Rattus norvegicus: one gene and its partners. The protein of the gene in region 3 purifies or fractionates together with the protein of the main gene of each other region. This does not show direct contact. Links are inferred from orthologs where the notes say so. Each region holds a gene or a part of one and is shown on either strand. Other genes may lie near its edges.

Region 1 (4,619 bases), on a different chromosome or scaffold from region 3:
ATGTCATCAAGAATATTAATAGTACTTAAAACATATAAGATTTAACATTCTGCTAAGCATGCAATCCTATCAGCTCTTCAACATAAAAACATTCAAATACTTTAGGCCCAGAACAACTTCAAAAACTTTCTATACTGTTTTCATAAAGACTACAAGCATACAGCCTACACTTGCGACAATTGACTTTAACCTCTAATAAACTAGCTAAACCAAGTTCCTTTCATAACAATTTTCATTCAGAAAATTACACTATCTAAAATATGTCTGGTCCCATGACCAAAAATAAGTTCTTACAACAAACACCATAATAAACTAACACTCTACACTCAACACTAATCTAATGTTAAAAAGAGCTTACCTTTAACTTGCAGTACTTTGCTAAACAGCAATATGAGGAAGTAGTTAAGATGGCTGAGTAGAATCCTCAAAGGTCTACTCTGAACTACAATACTAAATATAGGCAAAGTTAACACTTTGGAAATACTTCTAATTTCCACCTTTTAAGATGGGCTTAAGTTATTTGAAGGTCTCCAGGAAGAAAATGTGAATTTTACAACATATATTCAGCAACCTACTTTCAGTACCTAGACTACTCAACTTTAAAGTCTAATACTAAATCATGTCGCCAGAAGCTGCCATACCTCACTGCTCAGCAACAAACAGGACTACATACCTGAGAAGAACTGAACAATTTCTTCCTTGCTACATCCAAAAGGGAGTCCTCTAAGCCGTACAAAGCCATCATTGGCCGTGTCAGGACTATTGGGACCAGTATGCTTCAACACCCAATCCATTTCAACGTTGTTTGACTTGAATACTGAAAGAGGTGCTTAGAATTAGTCAATTAAGTTAGAGAACAAAGTCCAGATTTCCTGGGTTTTAGATAACTAGGAAGAGCTGCCATAAACTCCCTTAGATGACCATTTCCATGCGGTCAAATACCTAAAATTCAGAAGGGGTAAGACCTCTATGTGTTTAAACATTTACTGTTACTAGGGCAATGTAAATCAAACCTTCAACATATCTGTGTCCCATAGTTTCTCTGTCTTTTTTCAAGGCCAATTTGACTTCATCTTCTGATTCAAGTTCAACAAAAGCCTCGCCACTCGGTCTGCCTTCTCTGGTGTAGATGAAACGAATACCTTGAGCCCCATTTTGAATTTTGCAGTCTGAAAAGAAAACAATGCTTAATACAGAATTTAAAACCACCTCTGGGTGATACAGATGAGATGCATATTCCTGTCATCATTAAAAAAAAAAAAAAAAAAACCCACTCCTAAAGACTAAACTGATCACTCACCATCAAATTACCTGGTATATAGGATATATTCCTAATCCATCAAGGTACCTTAATACTCAAAAACAGTTCAAATGAAGCTACTGCCTTGCCTCTAAGTATCCACTAACCATCTCTGCACAATGTCTCAGAATAACCTCATCTGGGCCTGGTGACCTCACAGCATTTTCTGGGTGGGGTACCATGTCAGCTCTCCTCTATCAGCAGCCACATAACTGCTCACTCAAATCCAAACTCCAGCTCAATACTCACCTGAAAGGGCATCAATGTAAACAACTAAAGGCTCCAAACTGCACAGCTCAAGTCAAACCCGATGGCAACTGCCCCCTGCCATTGCTTCCAGTATACTTGAGTCTTGTTTTACAGGTCGTTTTCTGTTACCACAGCTAAATTCAGACAGTAAGGTCAACACTACAGGTACCTTTTTACGAAACTTGTCAATGTTTTTGAAATACACCTCTCTTCTCTTACAACAGTGGGAATAAGATTCTGATAGAAATTATTCAGAAAGCCTACACATAGTGTAAAAATAAGTAAGATTCTACAGTGACAAAACTTTCTTGGGTTTCAGGGTTCTCAGTTGTAAAGGGATCCAGTTTTTTAATTAACTAGACCTAGAGCATGAATTCAAGGACCAAATCCTAATCAGGAAAAATGAACTTTTCCAAAGCAGAATGCCTCTTTTCAAGTGAATATATGTAAGGAAGTGCAGTAGCGCTTCAAAGGGGAAATTACTATCACTTGTCTGTACTGCTCCATTTGTTTTTCAAGACCAGGAAAGAAATCATATCTTTCCCTACTGAATTCTTTCAGAGACAATTCCAAAATGCACAGATTGGTGCTTAGAGACCGAAAAGATTCTGCAGGGCCACCAGCATCCCAATGGGAGAAGGGGAGGGGGGCGGGAGGAGGGGGCATTTCGCAATTACCATTGCGTAACAGCGGCTGGCAGAGCGCGAGCCCGGGAACCGCTGGTGCCTGCGACTCGCTAGGGGGCGCCCAGAGGTCCGCCCCGCCCCGCCCCGCCCCGCCCGGCCCAGCCGCGGGCCCCCACTGACAACTCCCGCCTCAACTCACCAGAAAAAAACCGCTGCACTTCATCCGCGGAGCAGGACCAGGGCAAGCCCCGGACCTTCACCACGAAGCCCTCTCCGCCTTCTGCTCCCAGCATCATCGTCTCTTCGCTGGTCCTGGCGTCGAAACAGACTGCAGGGCTGCGGGGTGGGAGGGGGGTGGGGTTGTTAGGAACACGTCTAAGAAACAGTCATTTAAATGGCCCTCCCACTTCAAGGCGCCCTGCGGGGTTCGACCGGGCGCCGCTACGGGAGCCCCGCCCGGTACGCTGCCTTGACCCCGGAGACTCAAGCATGCAACCCGGCCTCGGCTAGCGACCCGATCCCCAACACCACTCTGTGCGCTCAGTGCTGAGGAGGGTCTAGGCTAAGAAAACCCTGGCCTACAGCCATGGTGGAGACAAGGAAATGGCGGCCGCCGCTTCCGCTCCGCCTCCTCAGACATCTCACACAATAGAAGCGGCGCGGCCTGCAGGCCTAGGCGGCGCTGCCACGCCGGCGAGACACTCGCGGTTTCCAGGGGTAGCCTGTGCTTGCCACGGCCCCCCAGGTTTTAACCTAAGTTCAGCGACAAGCAATCGTCACCAAAATAGGCGTCCGTGGAGGGCTCTGGTAGCAAACGAAGACAGAACACCACTCACCTCCACACAAAGCCTCGGCGTGGCTGAGGAAAAATGATAGGAGAGCGCCTGCGCAGCCTAAATAAAGCCCTCCGAGCAAACTCTGCGCACGCGCACCCCGTGGCCGGCCCCGCCCCACTCGCGTCACACAAAGATTAAACGCATGCGTATTAAGAAAACCTGCGCTCTCTCCCGCTAGCCCATTATTACACGCATGCGTTTGGGCTCCGGCCCCTTCATAAACTGACCGAGGGGTTTTTTTCTTCCTGCGCCTGCGCCCTTTTGCAATTATTGCGCTTGGCGTCTCAGCGGTTTATCGTTTTACTTAAAGCGCATGCGTCTGCCTTCAAACCGTTCTCTAGACCTACCCGCCAGAGTGGGGGAGGGGAATGGCGATAATCAGCTCCCAGCAGGGACTGGGTAATAATCCAGAGTTCAGGTTTACAGGGGCGGTTGTTCTACCCTTAATCCGCAGCTTTTCTTCCGCGTTCCTGTCAGTTTTGAAAGACAGCAGGAGGAAAAGGAAGCCATGCCCTTTCTCCCTAGAACGCGTAGGAGCTGGAAGGCCGGTTTATGCCGAGCCTCCTCTCCGTACCGCCCCGCCCCTGCGCCCAAATCCCAGATCACCGTGGGGTGCCTAGGACCAGTCCCCTTACCTGCCCGCTTTAGGGGATCAGTCCCCGACCCACATGGGCTGTCAGTGCCCGAGCTAGTCCTGTATCCCACTTTGCCTAACGAACTCGCAGTCTGCGAACCCCTCGCCTTCCCAAGGCCGCGGGCCCTCGCACGAGAAGCGCTCTGTGTGCTGCGCCTCGCGAGTGAAGGCTGAGACTACCAGGTGCGCGGAGGACGCAACCCCAGAGCGCGGCGCCCGACCGATGTACCTCTCCCAGGTGGAGACACCTCCGGGTCATCTCGTGTGCACTTACAGAGATAAATGGGTAAAAAGTTAGAATTCCAGCAACACAGCAGAATACGGATGATGTTCGGAGTCTCTCCGGATTTGACTGACCCACCCCTGCCAGACCTGGTAGAAATTAACAATAGTGTTATTGTTTTGGTGGTGCCACAGTGGGTACCACAGTTGGTATGCCTCTGAATGCCATCACAAGAGGTCGCGGTCAAAATTACGTTTTTCTTTCAAGTACAATATTGAGGAGGCTAAATCCACTTTGGATAGTTTTTTTTAAGGGGGTGGTGGTCATCAAAGGAAAGGTGCAGAGACAGCATGCAGAACTTGGACCTTTTAAGTCTGCGCAAGGGTGTTAAGTAGACAGAAGCTTTCAGCAAGAGAGCAACAGGAGCTGTGTAACATGAACCTTCAGGTGTAAGGGAAACTCCGATGAAACAGGCTGGGAGAATAGTGGGGCATGACCTCACCTGCAAAGGAGCTATCTAGAGGAGACGGAAAACACTAGCTTAGCTCATCAAAAGTGAGACTCCCAAGTCTCCAGGCCAGTAGGTGGGTGAAAAGCAAGACTACAACCCCAGCCCAGGAGAACTACAACTTCAAGACCTGCCGGGGCAACAGAGTGTGTTCGAGGCGGCCAGGGAAGCTTAGTGAAAGCCTGTCTCAAGAAAGATGAGAGAAATCTTAGTGGTAGAATGCTTGCTTAGCATGTACATTAC
Region 2 (3,825 bases), on a different chromosome or scaffold from region 3:
AATCCCTGTAAACCCCCTTACACTGGTGATTCATAAAATACAGTGTAACAAGAACCTTCTCTTATGCCACACAAGTAACCATGACAACAGCTTCACACTTACCCTCTTGAGGCTCTGTGACAAAGCCACCGAAGACCTCATCTTGGTATCTGAAGATGTCATTGTGAACATAGAATTTGTTGGCAACAGAGCCCTGCAATGTCAGCAACAAGTTTTCAGTTATTCACACTTATAAAACACTGAACCATGAGTATTTATCTGCTTCCTGTTTCTGATGGAATTAATGTGGCCAGCCTCCTCATATCCCCCCACTGTCTGCTATGAAGGACTGTACCCTCAAAAAAAAAAAAAAAAAAAAAAAAGTGAGTCAAAGCAAACCCTTCCTTTAAAAAACAAACATGACTGTACCAGTGGTTCTCAGCTATGGGAGGGTTTGGCCCCAGCAGACATCTAGCCAAGTCTAGAAATACTTGTTTCACGGCAGGGATTGGCCTCTACTAATCAGATTGCTAAGTGCCAACCGCATTCAAGACAGCCAATGTCTTCGCCAAGACTGAATGCCCTACTGTTTGAAATCGATTGTATGCAATTATAAAGAACCTCATAGACATTGTTAAAATATCCCATCCTTACCACCAGATGGTCACCCACAGAGAGAGAGAGAGAGAGAGAGAGAGAGAGAGAGAGAGAGAGGAGAAGGGGGAGGAAGAGGAGGGAAGGAAGGAAGGAAGGAAGGAAGGAAGGAAAGAAGGAAAAGTCTTTTATAAGATACAAAAGACGGAACATTTTCAACCACTCAGAGGCACAGTAGTTTCAACTCTAGCAGGAATTTAAAATGCCCTGACTCTTAATCTAACCGTATCAATCCAAATGTGCACGGTGGTGTAACCCAGATCTCTCCTGTGATTTAGACACACAAGCCCGAATCCAATCATCTTACTGATTAGCTGTTCAAAATTTCTAAAGCTGTCCCTTCATTCACAAAAAGTGGAATATCAAAACATACCATAGTGCTTTGTGTACTGACGTATTGTGTACTGTAGTTTATACAATAATACATTTCCTTAAGGGAGATAAACGCTTCCCTTGAAAGACAGAGGGACACTGAGTCTATAATTAATAATATAGGCTGTAAAATCTCGTATATGGAGAAGTTAACAAGTAGTCATTGTCCTCCTCCTCTTCCTCCCTCCTCCTCTCCTTTTTTCTCTTCTTCCTTCCCACCTCCTCCTTCTTGTGATCAAGTCTTTCTTCTTCCTTCCTCTTCCTCCTTCAAGATAGCTCTTGGTTTACTGTGGGCTGGCCTAAAGCTTGCAAACCTCCTGACTCAGCTTCTCAAAAGGTGGAGTTACCGGGCTGGAGAGATGGCTCGGTGGTTTAGAGCACTGGCTGCTCTTGCCGGGACCGAGACCCAATTCCTGACACCCACATGGTGGCTCACTGCCATCTGTATCTCCAGTTCCAGGGAATCCACTATCCTCTTGTGGACTCTGGAGGCACTACATGCATGCAGACAAAAAACCCATACACACAAAAACAAAAATATTCATTCATTCATTTATTCATTCATTCATTTATTTTAAAGCTGGAATTTTACTCTAAATCCTGCCTACACCCTCAATGGTGGTGCTAGAATATCTGAAATTCTAGCACTTATGAGGCTGACAAAGGAGGTCACTGTGATTTCTAGGACAGTCTGAGCTACATAATGAGGTTCTATCTCAAAACAAAAACATCCTAGGGGTTGGGGATTTGGTTCAGTGGTAAAGCGCTTGCCTACTAGCAAGCGCAAGGCCCTGGGTTTGGTCCCCAGCTCCGAAGGAAAAAAAAAATCCAAAATTTTTTTTAAAGATAATGATAGTAATTTTACAATCCTAAATAGGATTTTTAAAAATTAATTCCTTATGAGCTGATTCTGTACCTATCAGCTTCCTGTCCCTTCTTTCTGAAGAAGGCACAGCAGATGTCATCCTCATCATCTCCCTGTGGTACCTTCAGAAACCTTACTACAGAGAAGCATCGCGAATGGAACAAACAGCTAATTCCCAAATGGGGCTTGAACAGGGACAGGGTCAGCACAAGGACATACACCATGCCATGCCCACACCAAAACAGAATAGCATGGAGGGTTTCCAACTGACTAGCCCCAGGACATGAGGGATATATGCTAAACAGTTACTAATGAATCATAACTCACTAAATATACTAGAATGATGGAATCCTTATAAGACAAAGCCAATGAATGAATACAGGGTGGTGGATGATAACAGACATTCCCACCTGTCACCATTCAGCCAAGAACCTCAAACAAAAAAGAATGACAGTATGCAAAACTGATAAAGAGCAGCACATTTATACAGGGTCCAAAGGTTAGTCACAATGGCAAGACCTGAGCATATAACCTAAGGGAACCAGAGACACACAAAAGGGTCATGGTCACTACGGATGAGTGGAAGAACGTGTATGTGACTGCTCTTCAGAACTGTCAATGCCAAGCAAACCAAAGGAGGAAGGGACTACAAATGACAGGGAACAAGACACAACCAGACGAACACAACAGATCGTTATATGGGCAGTTATATACAGACTCTCGGATCAAGAAAAACAAACTACGGTTGGGGATTTAGCTCAGTGGTAGAGCCCTTGCCTAGCAAGCACAAAGCCCTGGGTTCAGTCTCCAGCTCTGAAAAGAAAAAAAAAAAAAAAAGAAAGAAAAAAAGAAAGAAAGAAAAACAAACTACTGTGGAAAACAAGGCTGGCGTACCTTCTGAAACTCAGATATGGTTACTGAGTGAGTTATGTTGGGCAGTATTTTCTGAATGAGGTAACAACAGAATGATTATGAAGCAAAATTCCGAGAGAGAGAGAGAGAGAGAGAGAGAGAGAGAGAGAGAGAGAGAGAGAGAATGAATTCCTTGTCCTTAGGATGCCAGATGAAGGGATACAAAGTTTCATTTGAACTGTTTAGATGGAAGATACTTTCCAACAGTAATCTTCCTGGACCAGTAAGGACACCACAGCTCTAGGACAAGAGGACAAAGCCACACCTATAACCCTGAGCTGCCAGGAATCTAGAATTCACACAGCTGTTAGTCTTTGCATACTCCATCAGTACAGAGCCAACAGCCATCATGCGACATACCTCAGGCGCAAGGACAAAGGTCTGCATGAACCTCCGCAGAGCCTGGTTGTTGTTGGACAGCAGCCCCATCACTTGGACCACCACCCCGTCATTCAGAGTTGCGTGAGCATCCACGTGGCGGATCTTGGTGTGGCAGTTGGTGAAGTTTTGTGACATCACTTTCCTGTGGATTTCCTGAGGAACAGAGGCAAGAGTCAATCCCTGGGGAACTCACTGTGCAGAAACTAAACCAGCAGCTGCCAGCACCAAGCTGGATCCTCCAGCTCCGCCATGTTTTCTCACAGATTTGTACTCAGCCCTACCTCCTGCTCCTGCGAGCAGTCCTTGAGCAATCTCAAAGCAATCTGAAGAGCTATAAAACAAGTGCACGGGAGGGCAGAGACCTGCTATATTCACAGCAGCTCATCTCCACTCAGTTTGACAGGACCAAGAATCACCTAGGAAACAATCATCTGGGACAGCAACATTCTACAGGAAGAGCCCTGTGCTGTACATAGAAGGGGAACTGAGCACCAGCGGTCACCTTATGTTCCTGCTACCATGCCTTTCCCGCTTGGATCGTACCTCAAACTGTGAGCCTGAGTACTCCTTCTTCCTGCCTAAGTTGCTTCTGCCCGGCATTTATCTCAGCAATGAGACAAGTAAGCAACATGAGATCCAGTTAAAAATAAAAAATAAATCCC
Region 3 (4,625 bases):
ACAGTACCACCATAGTAAAAATAACCATTTACTAACTCACATGCATTCATATCCCAACCCCAACACAGGGTCTCTTTTGTAGTCCTGGCTGTCCTCAATTTCTGAGATCCACTTGTCTCTCTGCCCCCTTGAATGCTGGAATCAAAGATGTACACCACCAGACCCAGTTTTCTCATACTTTCAAGAATATCAGTAGTAAGAAACAGAGAAAATCTTTAGTTCTGTAGGAACTCAAAATTTGGGCTAGTGCAACTGATATTTTTTGAGGAGGGAAAAAAAGAGATTAAGAACACTGATGCTGGGGTTGGGGATTTAGCTCAGTGGTAGAGCGCTTGCCTAGTAACCGCAAGGCCCTGGGTTCGGTTCGGTCCCCCGCTCCGGGAAAAAAAGAAAAGAAAAAAAAAAAAAAAAAGAACACTGGTGCTGTTGCTCTTCTGAGGATCAGGGTTTGGATGTCAGCACCCACACAGTAGCTCACAACCATACAGCTTTAGCTTCAGAAGGTCGGATGTCATTCTGTATCAGGTACAGAGTGCCAAGGTGCACATACAACACAATGTTAATAAACATAAATCTTAAAATGATGAGACAAAGATGAGACAGCTGCAAGAAAAAGCCAGGCAGTGGTGACATCTTTAAACCCAGCACTTGGCAGATCTGAGTTCAAGGTCAACCTTAGCTATCAAGTTTAACCATGGAGAAATCCTGTTTTAAGAAACCAAAAAAGAGGGGTTGGGGATTTAGCTCAGTGATAGAGCGCTTGCCTAGGAAGCACAAGGCCCTGGGTTTGGTCCCCCTGGGTCGGGGGGGGGGGGGGGGGAGAGGAACTGGAGGGATAGCTCAGCTGTTAACATTGACTGCTCTTTTAGAGGTCTTGAGTTTAATTCCTAGCAACCACATGGTGGCTCAAACCATCTGTAATAGGCTCCCATGCCCTCTTCTGGTGTGTGAAGACAGAGACTGTGCTCACATATGTCTTAAAAAGAAAAAAGCCTCGAGGAAAACTGGCTAAGCCAAATTCTTTTACAAAACAGATCTTTAAGGCATTTAGTTTTAACCACCTAAAATTGGCAATGACTATGTTCTGATGGCTTAACATTTAAATAGATGCTCCTCAAAAAAGAATCCTGCTTTTCAATTTTCACTTATTTAGACTGCTGACCTGCCAGACTAGTCTAAGCAAAGTTTGTGAAAAGGGCAGGATCCTAGGGGACATTCTTCCAAGGAAGGCCAAACCCTCAGGGATTCTCCAGCAAACATGGATGCCCAGGTATTATAGCCTCACTTAGGATGGCATACATATCTAACCATAGCCAGTAATATGGCAAAACCAAAGTGATTAACCAACCTTTGGGATAGTTGACAACATAGACCAGATTGCCCCAGCCAGCATCTGGGGCATGCAGAATTCCTTCCACCAGTCGGACACCTCTCATACACTGAGACACTGGATTCCGGTAGCGCAGGCCACACGCCCCTGGAAACTGGGCTGTAACTGTGGACAGCAACACTGTCCCATCGTCTTCTGATGGTATTTCAATGGGCTCATCATTCTCATCTTCTGTTACCCGAATATATTCAGACATCTTTGCTTAAATCTCTTAAAGGAAAAAGAAATGATCAAGAATATCAGAGCAATTATCTTTTTTATACTTAGTTACTATCACACCACTTTATTTTTTTCCCATTTCCTGAAAAGAGCACCACCAAAAAATGTTTCGTCATCCCTGGGGGGGGGGGGGTGAGGTGATCGAGGAAAAAATGTTTTCTAAAACAAAAAAATGTGATTTTTGCCGAGCATAGTAACCCACACCTTTAACCTCAGCACTTTTGAAGCAGAGGCAGGAACATATTTTTGAGTTCGAAGCCAGCCTGGTTTACAGAGTTCCGGGGCGGTCAGGACTACACAGAGAAAGCCAGTGGTGGTGTGATGCTGCCCCCATCCCCCCACCCCCGCCACAGTTCACCCATTTTCTCAGGCCTTACTATATGCTTCCGGTGCTAAAGTTGCAACAGTGTTACCATGTGGCCTGTTGGTTACAAAGCCAGACAAAAACAAGGTGTTAAGAACTAAGTATCTGTCCCCATTTTTTCCCCACTGGCAAACACTGTTCTTACCTGGAGTGCACAGATTACAGTCTACAGTATTTTTCGACTATTCTGAACTCATTTCATTAATTCTAAAGCCTGAGAGCCTAAATCGGGCTTAGCACGTGCTTTAAGTGTAAGAAATTAGCAATGCATTCAATTGGCTAAATCTTGACCGTGCCGGTGGAGCACGAAAACCGACGTTCAGAACAGAGACCCCGCAGTTCTATTCCTCATTTTCGGAAAGGTCTGGCTAAACTTGGGCGTCAAGGGAGCAACGACTGATACTCCTTGAGGTAGGCCGCCACTTCCCAGAAGGCCATGCGCGACAGACAACGTTGATTTCTCCCCCACCCCCGCCCTTTCAACTAGGCCCCGGGTGGGGCCGCGTGGGTCCAAGTCCCATAGTGAAAACGGTTAATTCTCAAATGCGAGAACCTTTAAGGACTAGCACTGCTGGGGCGCCGGGGCCGCGACAGACTTCCGCCCGCGGCTTCACAGCCCAGCAGGCCCGGCGCCCCGCTCCGGCTGCCGCCCGCGCTAGGCCCTAACGACGCGGTGGCGCGAGGCCAACTAGGCCCCGCTCCATAGCTCCCTTCCAGCGGTGCAGGTCGTCTCAGGTCTCCCCAAAGCAGCGCCCGAAGCACGCAAGCCGTCCTCGGCGAGCAACTCACCCACTGGGCCGCTGCTAGGAAGCACAACGAAGGATCGAAGACGGAAAGGAACCCAACAACAGCCGAGCTACCGCTTCGTGCCCACAAAATGGCGCTAGGGCCGCCTCCCGCCCTCGCCCGCCTTCGGCCTCTCCCAATTGCTTCCTGTCAGGAGGGGAGCTCTCCGAGAGTCGCCAGAGACGCTCTATCCTCGACGCGGCTCGGATACTAGCAGGCCCTTCGGCGTGCAGAACAGAGGAAAATAATACAGGAGTGAGAGGGTCTAGATCCGAAATGCTGAAAAATGAAGAACAGTGTGGTCTCGTAGGCTTTACGTTCCCCCTACGTCACGTGGAAGATGGCTTCGCCCGACCAACCGCCGGCCCCAGTTGAAGAGCTCGCGCGCGCTGAAAATACGCGAGACTAGCGTAGGCCGGGACTGGAGCGTATGGGCGGGGCTAGGAGGGAAGGGGCGGAGCCAGGGGCCGGCTGGATGCCGAAGGGCTAGTGGGGCTCCCTGAGTACCCTGGGTTTTAGGTCTAAAGGTTAGCCTTCGATGTCTCCTGCCTTTGCTTGTTAATTTCCGACATAGAAGCATTAACTTTGGTCTACAAAATGGTCCCTGTCCTAGGTACTACTTTGTGCCAAGTACCCTTTAGCACGCTCCGGCTCTAGGGGGAAAAAACCCAGAATCTTGTGAATGGCAAACGAGTGTTCTACCATTGACCTTGGGCTTAGCCACCAAATGCTGTTTTAGAGACAAGGACCTCAAAGTCACTGTGTAACCCTTTAACTCGTCACGGCTCCTCCTCCCCCATCGTCAGGCTCCGGAGTGTTGATGTTGCCCTGGCAGACTGTGTGATATTCTTGATACTCTCCTCTTTCAACAAGGGAAGAAACTGAGGCACAGAATTAAGTATCTTGCATGAAATATCCGTGAGAAAGAGGTCCCACTAGGATGAATCCTACAGCAGAAAATATTGGGAGGTTTCCTTATTTCGGTTCCAGTAGACGAGTCCTAGTTTAACTCTGTAAGTCCTGTGTAACTCTGAGGGCTAGCTCTACCACCAAGCCCCAGCTGTAGACTCTTTAGCCAGGATTGAAACTAACTGGTGTATCAGATTCAAAGCTTAGCCGCAAAGGTTTACACAGTTGCTTTGTTTACTGAAACTGGGTCTTGCTGTACAGAACAGACTGGCCTTGAGCTTGCAGTGATTCTCCTGTCTCTGCCTCCTTTCCGGGGCGGGGCGGGAATTACAGATCATCATCGTGCCAAGCTGAGTCTTCCCACTTTAAATTTATAAATGAACTCATTTCCTCCTCACCGGTACCTTGCAAGAAGATGGCATTGCGAGAACAGGTATTAATGTCTGGCCTGGAACTCCCGTTATAGTCCAGGCTGGCCAGGAATTCCTGGACAAACAGTCCTGCCTCAACCATCTGAGTGCTGGGATTATAAGCACAAGTCCTTCCACCCAGTATTATTTATGTTTTGGTTTTGGACTTTTTAAAAACAGCATCTCTAAGTAGTCTTTGGCTGGCCTGGAACTTAATGTGTAGATGAGGCTGGCCTCAAATTTGCAATGCCTGTCCTGCATCTGCCCCTCCAGTGCTGGGATTGCGGGTGTGAGTCACCCAAATGGTTTTTTGTTTGTCTTCTAAGACAGGGTTTCATAGAGCAGAGGCTGGGCCTGACCTTCTGACCATCCCGTTCCACCTCCCAGGTACTGGGATTACAGCCTGTGCTACCATGCCTGGCAAATTCAAGAACTTTAACAACTTAGAACAATGGTTACCTTTTTATTTCGTTTGTGTCCGTGCCTCTGTGCATGAACAGCTGCTCTGTGCAAGTGTGCCTGCTGAGCTATCTACCTGGCACCAGCT
Region 4 (3,825 bases), on a different chromosome or scaffold from region 3:
CCTGTTGCAGGGAAGGGGCCAGGGAGCTGAGGCTGGAGGTGCCTGGGTGCCTGGTGTTGGGTGGCTCTTGTCCTCTGGCCACACCTCCTCATCACTGGACTCCTGGCAGCAGTGTTCTTCTGGGTTCAGGTAGACCACAGTGACGTCAAGGAGTCCACTGGGAGCTGTAACTGTGAAAAATTTGGGGTACCTTTATAGCATTATATAGTATTAGACTAGTAATACTATTATATAGTATAGAACTAGTGACCCTATAGCTGCTCAGGACTGGGTGGCCCAGGGTTTTGCTTAGGTAAGAACCCTGTCTGTGAGCTTGACTCTCTCAAGCTGGGAATGGTCCTCTCCCCTTCCTTGATAACTCATGGGGCACCAGAAAGTGATGTCACCCAACTCACTTTATCTGAGCGGACACAAAAGCAAGCAATTGGAAATTACAAGTGAAACTTTCAGAAGTCAAGTCTTCCTGGCCAGAACATAGGGAAGCAGTTTACACACACACACACACACACACACACACACACACACACACACACACACACACACGGGAAACTAAGTGTTCTATGCACAACTCCAGACAGGGTCTGCCTAAGTGAGGCCCTTCAACTGACAAAGACCCAGACAGAGATGGATACAGGTTAGACATCCTCTCTCCCTGTTGGGTGGGGAAAACAGTGTGTCGGGTTCACACATTTCTCCTGGTTGTAGTGCCAGGTGGCCCTGGGGTCACATGTCACCTGTATGTCCCATCCCTTCCCCAGCAGCACTCACCATCCCCCTCCTTCTCTCCTTCGCTCTCCTGGTCTCCCTCATAGCCAGAGCAGCAGTCCAGGCTCCAGTCCAGAAGGCTGCCTAGCAATGTCTCCTCCTGGTTCGATAGTTCTGCGGTGGGTGTGGTAACAAAGCTTCCCCTGTCCTCCTGAAGGCTGTTCTCTCGCTTCCTGCAAGGTAGGGAGAGTCCATGAAACCCTGGTCACAGATGGCACAGAGCCGATGTGGTGCTCTCTACATGTGCCTTACCGCCTATATGCCCCTGGCTCTCATCTTGTGTTCGACAAAATACCCATGAAGCTAGAGCAGATGGGAGCCCTCAAGGGCAAGGGATCAACTGGAAGAAGAAGTGGGTGAGGCCAGGCCTCGGTCTAGGCCAGCTTTGGGCCCCGGGCCCTTCTTGTAACTGGCAGAAAGACTCCACCACCCTTCAGGGTTCTAGACGCACCAGATAGGGACAGTGTGGGTGTCTGACTGCACAGTCTGTCTTTGGGGAAGGTCATCAAACCTGTCTACCTGGGGTCACGGCTGGAGAACTACAGTGCAGTCTGCCTCTGGGAGAGCCTACCACACTCACCAGGCCTTCTGCTGCTGTCTCTGGGAGGGAATGTGGCTGTCCCATGTTACCTTGGAGGTCACTATGAAGGACCTTCTAGAGAGCAGGTCTAACACTGAAATTAGGCCCTTTAGAGGATCAGTGATGTGATACACCGCTAGTGAGTATACGTGTCTGTCCGGGATGTCCCCAAGGGTAACCCTGTCCCCAAAAGTCAAGAGGACCAAATACATAGCATGATGTAAGCTGTGGCCCCCTTGGAAGGACCCAGATCTCCCCACTCTACAGAGAGGAAGATGCTGTGCTGTTTCTCTTGTAGCAGGTATGAAAGGGGGTGAACCCCACACTGCTGCCTCCTCACATCTCCTCGAGACCCCAGTGCCTGAAGCCAAGGACCCACCCACCACAGAACACTCATGGCTCATATGCCCGGTACCACCCAGCCACTCAGTGCCCAGGTTTGCTCAGGAGCACACAGGGCACTGAGGCACACGAGGCAGGGCTAGCCCAGGGGGAGCCTGAGCGTTGCAGGACCCATAGTTCAGTGAGTGGGTGAGGTTGCTATGCTGGGAGGTGTGGTCAGAGCGCTGGTCTGTGAGAGGAAGGACAGACCATGCTATACAGGGCCAAGGGCAGAGACCAGGCGGGCAGCTATCAAAGACATTACTTAGGTCAACCCAACTACCATCTGTGCCATATCCTGGGGCAGAGAGGCCAGGTGAATAACGGCGTAGGTGGGGAGAGACCTGAGCAGGAGACAGACAGGCTCGGGGGTGGGGCGGGGCGGGAAGCATCGATGTTCAGGGACAGGCCAAGGCCAAAGCCCCTGGGTTAAACCTGGGAGCCGCTGAACAAGCTGCCTTAGGAAGTCTGTACACATGGTTACTGTGTCAAGAAGGAAACTCAGCCCTGACATCCTTGAGAGAGAGAGTGGCACAGTTGCAGACGGACAGGGCAGACTCACCGTTTGCTTCTCCTCCCAGAGGGTGAGCTGAGGAAGGTGTGGATCTCCCCGGAGCTAGGGAAAGACGGGGGCTCTGGGCTCTCCTGTTTCACCCCTAATGCACTGCACAGTTCGGCATAGCTCAGTACCTGTAGGGAGGCCAGAGTGAAGAACCACACAGCGACCCGGGCACCCCCACCAGGAGCCTAAGTGACAGAGAGAGGCCGTACCTCTTCCTGGCTGATCTCCTCATAGCACTTATCCTCAAACCGCTGCTTCACGGCCGTCAGAGAGACTTGTCTGTAGTCTTTGGGTGCATCATCATGGAAACTGGAAAGGGACAGAGACGCTGACATGTGACCCGCAGAGAGGACAGCAAGCTTTCAAAACCGACCCCACTACTAAGGACACACAGGAAGACGGGCAGCTCCTCAGTGGGTTAGCTTCCCGAGAGACAGAGACACGAACAACCAGAGAACACGCACAAGAGCGTTGATCCCACCTCGGAGCAGTCAGAGGTGGAGGTGTCTCACGTATCCGCCAATGGTCAGACGTACAAAGGTCCATTCAAACAGTGAGCTTTACTCAAGCACTGACACACGTAGAAATACGACCCTGAGATGGGACGGCAGACTCACACAGCGGGACACTGCCTGCCTGCCTCATTCGGTGATGTCCCGAATGGGCAAAGCCACAGATGTCAAGCAATGAATGGATGCTGGGGCCAAAGGAGTTGGAAGATTGCCAAGCGACAGCTAAAGAATGGAGTTTCCAGGGATGGAGAGGTGGCTCAGTGGTTAAGAGCCCTGACTGCCCTTCCAGACAGAGGTCCTGAGTTCAAATCCCAGCAACCACATGGTGGCTCACAACCATCTGTAATGGGATCCAATGCCCTCTTCTGGTGTGTCTGAAGACAGCGGCAGTGTACTCATATATAATAAATAAATAAATCTTTAAAAAAAAATGGGGGTTTCCTTTGGGGGGTGGCAAGAATGTTCTAAAATTGATTGCACAATTCTGAATACACTAGAAGAATTTAAATGATCAACTATTTTATTCCTTTGGTTTTTCGAGACAGGATTTCTCTGTGTAGCCCTGGCTATCCTCAAACTCAGAGGGATCTGCCTGCTGGGTTTAAAGGCGTGCACCACCACTGAAAACTTAAAACAACTAGAGTGGGGCGAGTATATACTTAGCTTACATAAAGGCCTGAGATCTATCCCTAGCACCAGAAAACACACACACACACACACACACACACACACACACACACACACACACACACCATACACACACACACCACATCTCTCTTCTCACATACACACTCACACACAAACATTCTCACACACACTCACACCTCACCAAAATCTTTCACACACACACACACACACACACACACACACACACACACACACGCATAAACTTCTTATGGTCAGCAGCAGGTCACAATCAGTACAAGTAAAGGTGGAAGGCCTTTACAGTCACCCTGCTTCCTTCCTCAGCCATGGTCTGGGCACCACAGGAAAAAACAGGGAAGGCAAAAGTGTAATGCTGACAG

The links.
Region 1: the proteins of Tardbp (region 3) and Hnrnph1 purify together in Homo sapiens (affinity purification with western blotting; 3 studies listed by BioGRID and IntAct, with this or other methods). This does not show direct contact. The link is inferred for Rattus norvegicus from reciprocal best matches to the Homo sapiens genes TARDBP and HNRNPH1.
Region 2: the proteins of Tardbp (region 3) and G3bp1 purify together in Homo sapiens (affinity purification with mass spectrometry; 3 studies listed by BioGRID, with this or other methods). This does not show direct contact. The link is inferred for Rattus norvegicus from reciprocal best matches to the Homo sapiens genes TARDBP and G3BP1.
Region 4: the proteins of Tardbp (region 3) and Ccnf purify together in Homo sapiens (affinity purification with western blotting; 3 studies listed by BioGRID, with this or other methods). This does not show direct contact. The link is inferred for Rattus norvegicus from reciprocal best matches to the Homo sapiens genes TARDBP and CCNF.

Annotation. Positions count from the first base shown.
Region 1 is NC_086028.1:35,193,088-35,197,706, reverse strand, and holds the start of Hnrnph1 (heterogeneous nuclear ribonucleoprotein H), read right to left. Parts: upstream 3,075-4,619; 5' UTR 3,012-3,074; exon of another isoform or gene 2,929-3,011; intron 2,512-2,928; 5' UTR 2,472-2,511; coding exon 2,375-2,471; intron 1,170-2,374; coding exon 1,014-1,169; intron 818-1,013; coding exon 674-817; intron 1-673. UniProt on the Homo sapiens protein: This protein is a component of the heterogeneous nuclear ribonucleoprotein (hnRNP) complexes which provide the substrate for the processing events that pre-mRNAs undergo before becoming functional, translatable mRNAs in the cytoplasm.
Region 2 is NC_086028.1:40,104,349-40,108,173, reverse strand, and holds part of G3bp1 (ras GTPase-activating protein-binding protein 1), read right to left. Parts: intron 3,317-3,825; coding exon 3,143-3,316; intron 194-3,142; coding exon 103-193; intron 1-102. UniProt on the Homo sapiens protein: Protein involved in various processes, such as stress granule formation and innate immunity. Plays an essential role in stress granule formation.
Region 3 is NC_086023.1:164,342,330-164,346,954, forward strand, and holds the start of Tardbp (TAR DNA-binding protein 43), read right to left. Parts: upstream 2,876-4,625; 5' UTR 2,763-2,875; intron 2,632-2,762; exon of another isoform or gene 2,119-2,631; intron 1,601-2,118; 5' UTR 1,587-1,600; coding exon 1,349-1,586; intron 1-1,348. UniProt on the Homo sapiens protein: RNA-binding protein that is involved in various steps of RNA biogenesis and processing.
Region 4 is NC_086028.1:13,759,648-13,763,472, forward strand, and holds part of Ccnf (cyclin-F), read right to left. Parts: intron 2,598-3,825; coding exon 2,498-2,597; intron 2,417-2,497; coding exon 2,289-2,416; intron 939-2,288; coding exon 769-938; intron 171-768; coding exon 1-170. UniProt on the Homo sapiens protein: Substrate recognition component of a SCF (SKP1-CUL1-F-box protein) E3 ubiquitin-protein ligase complex which mediates the ubiquitination and subsequent proteasomal degradation of target proteins.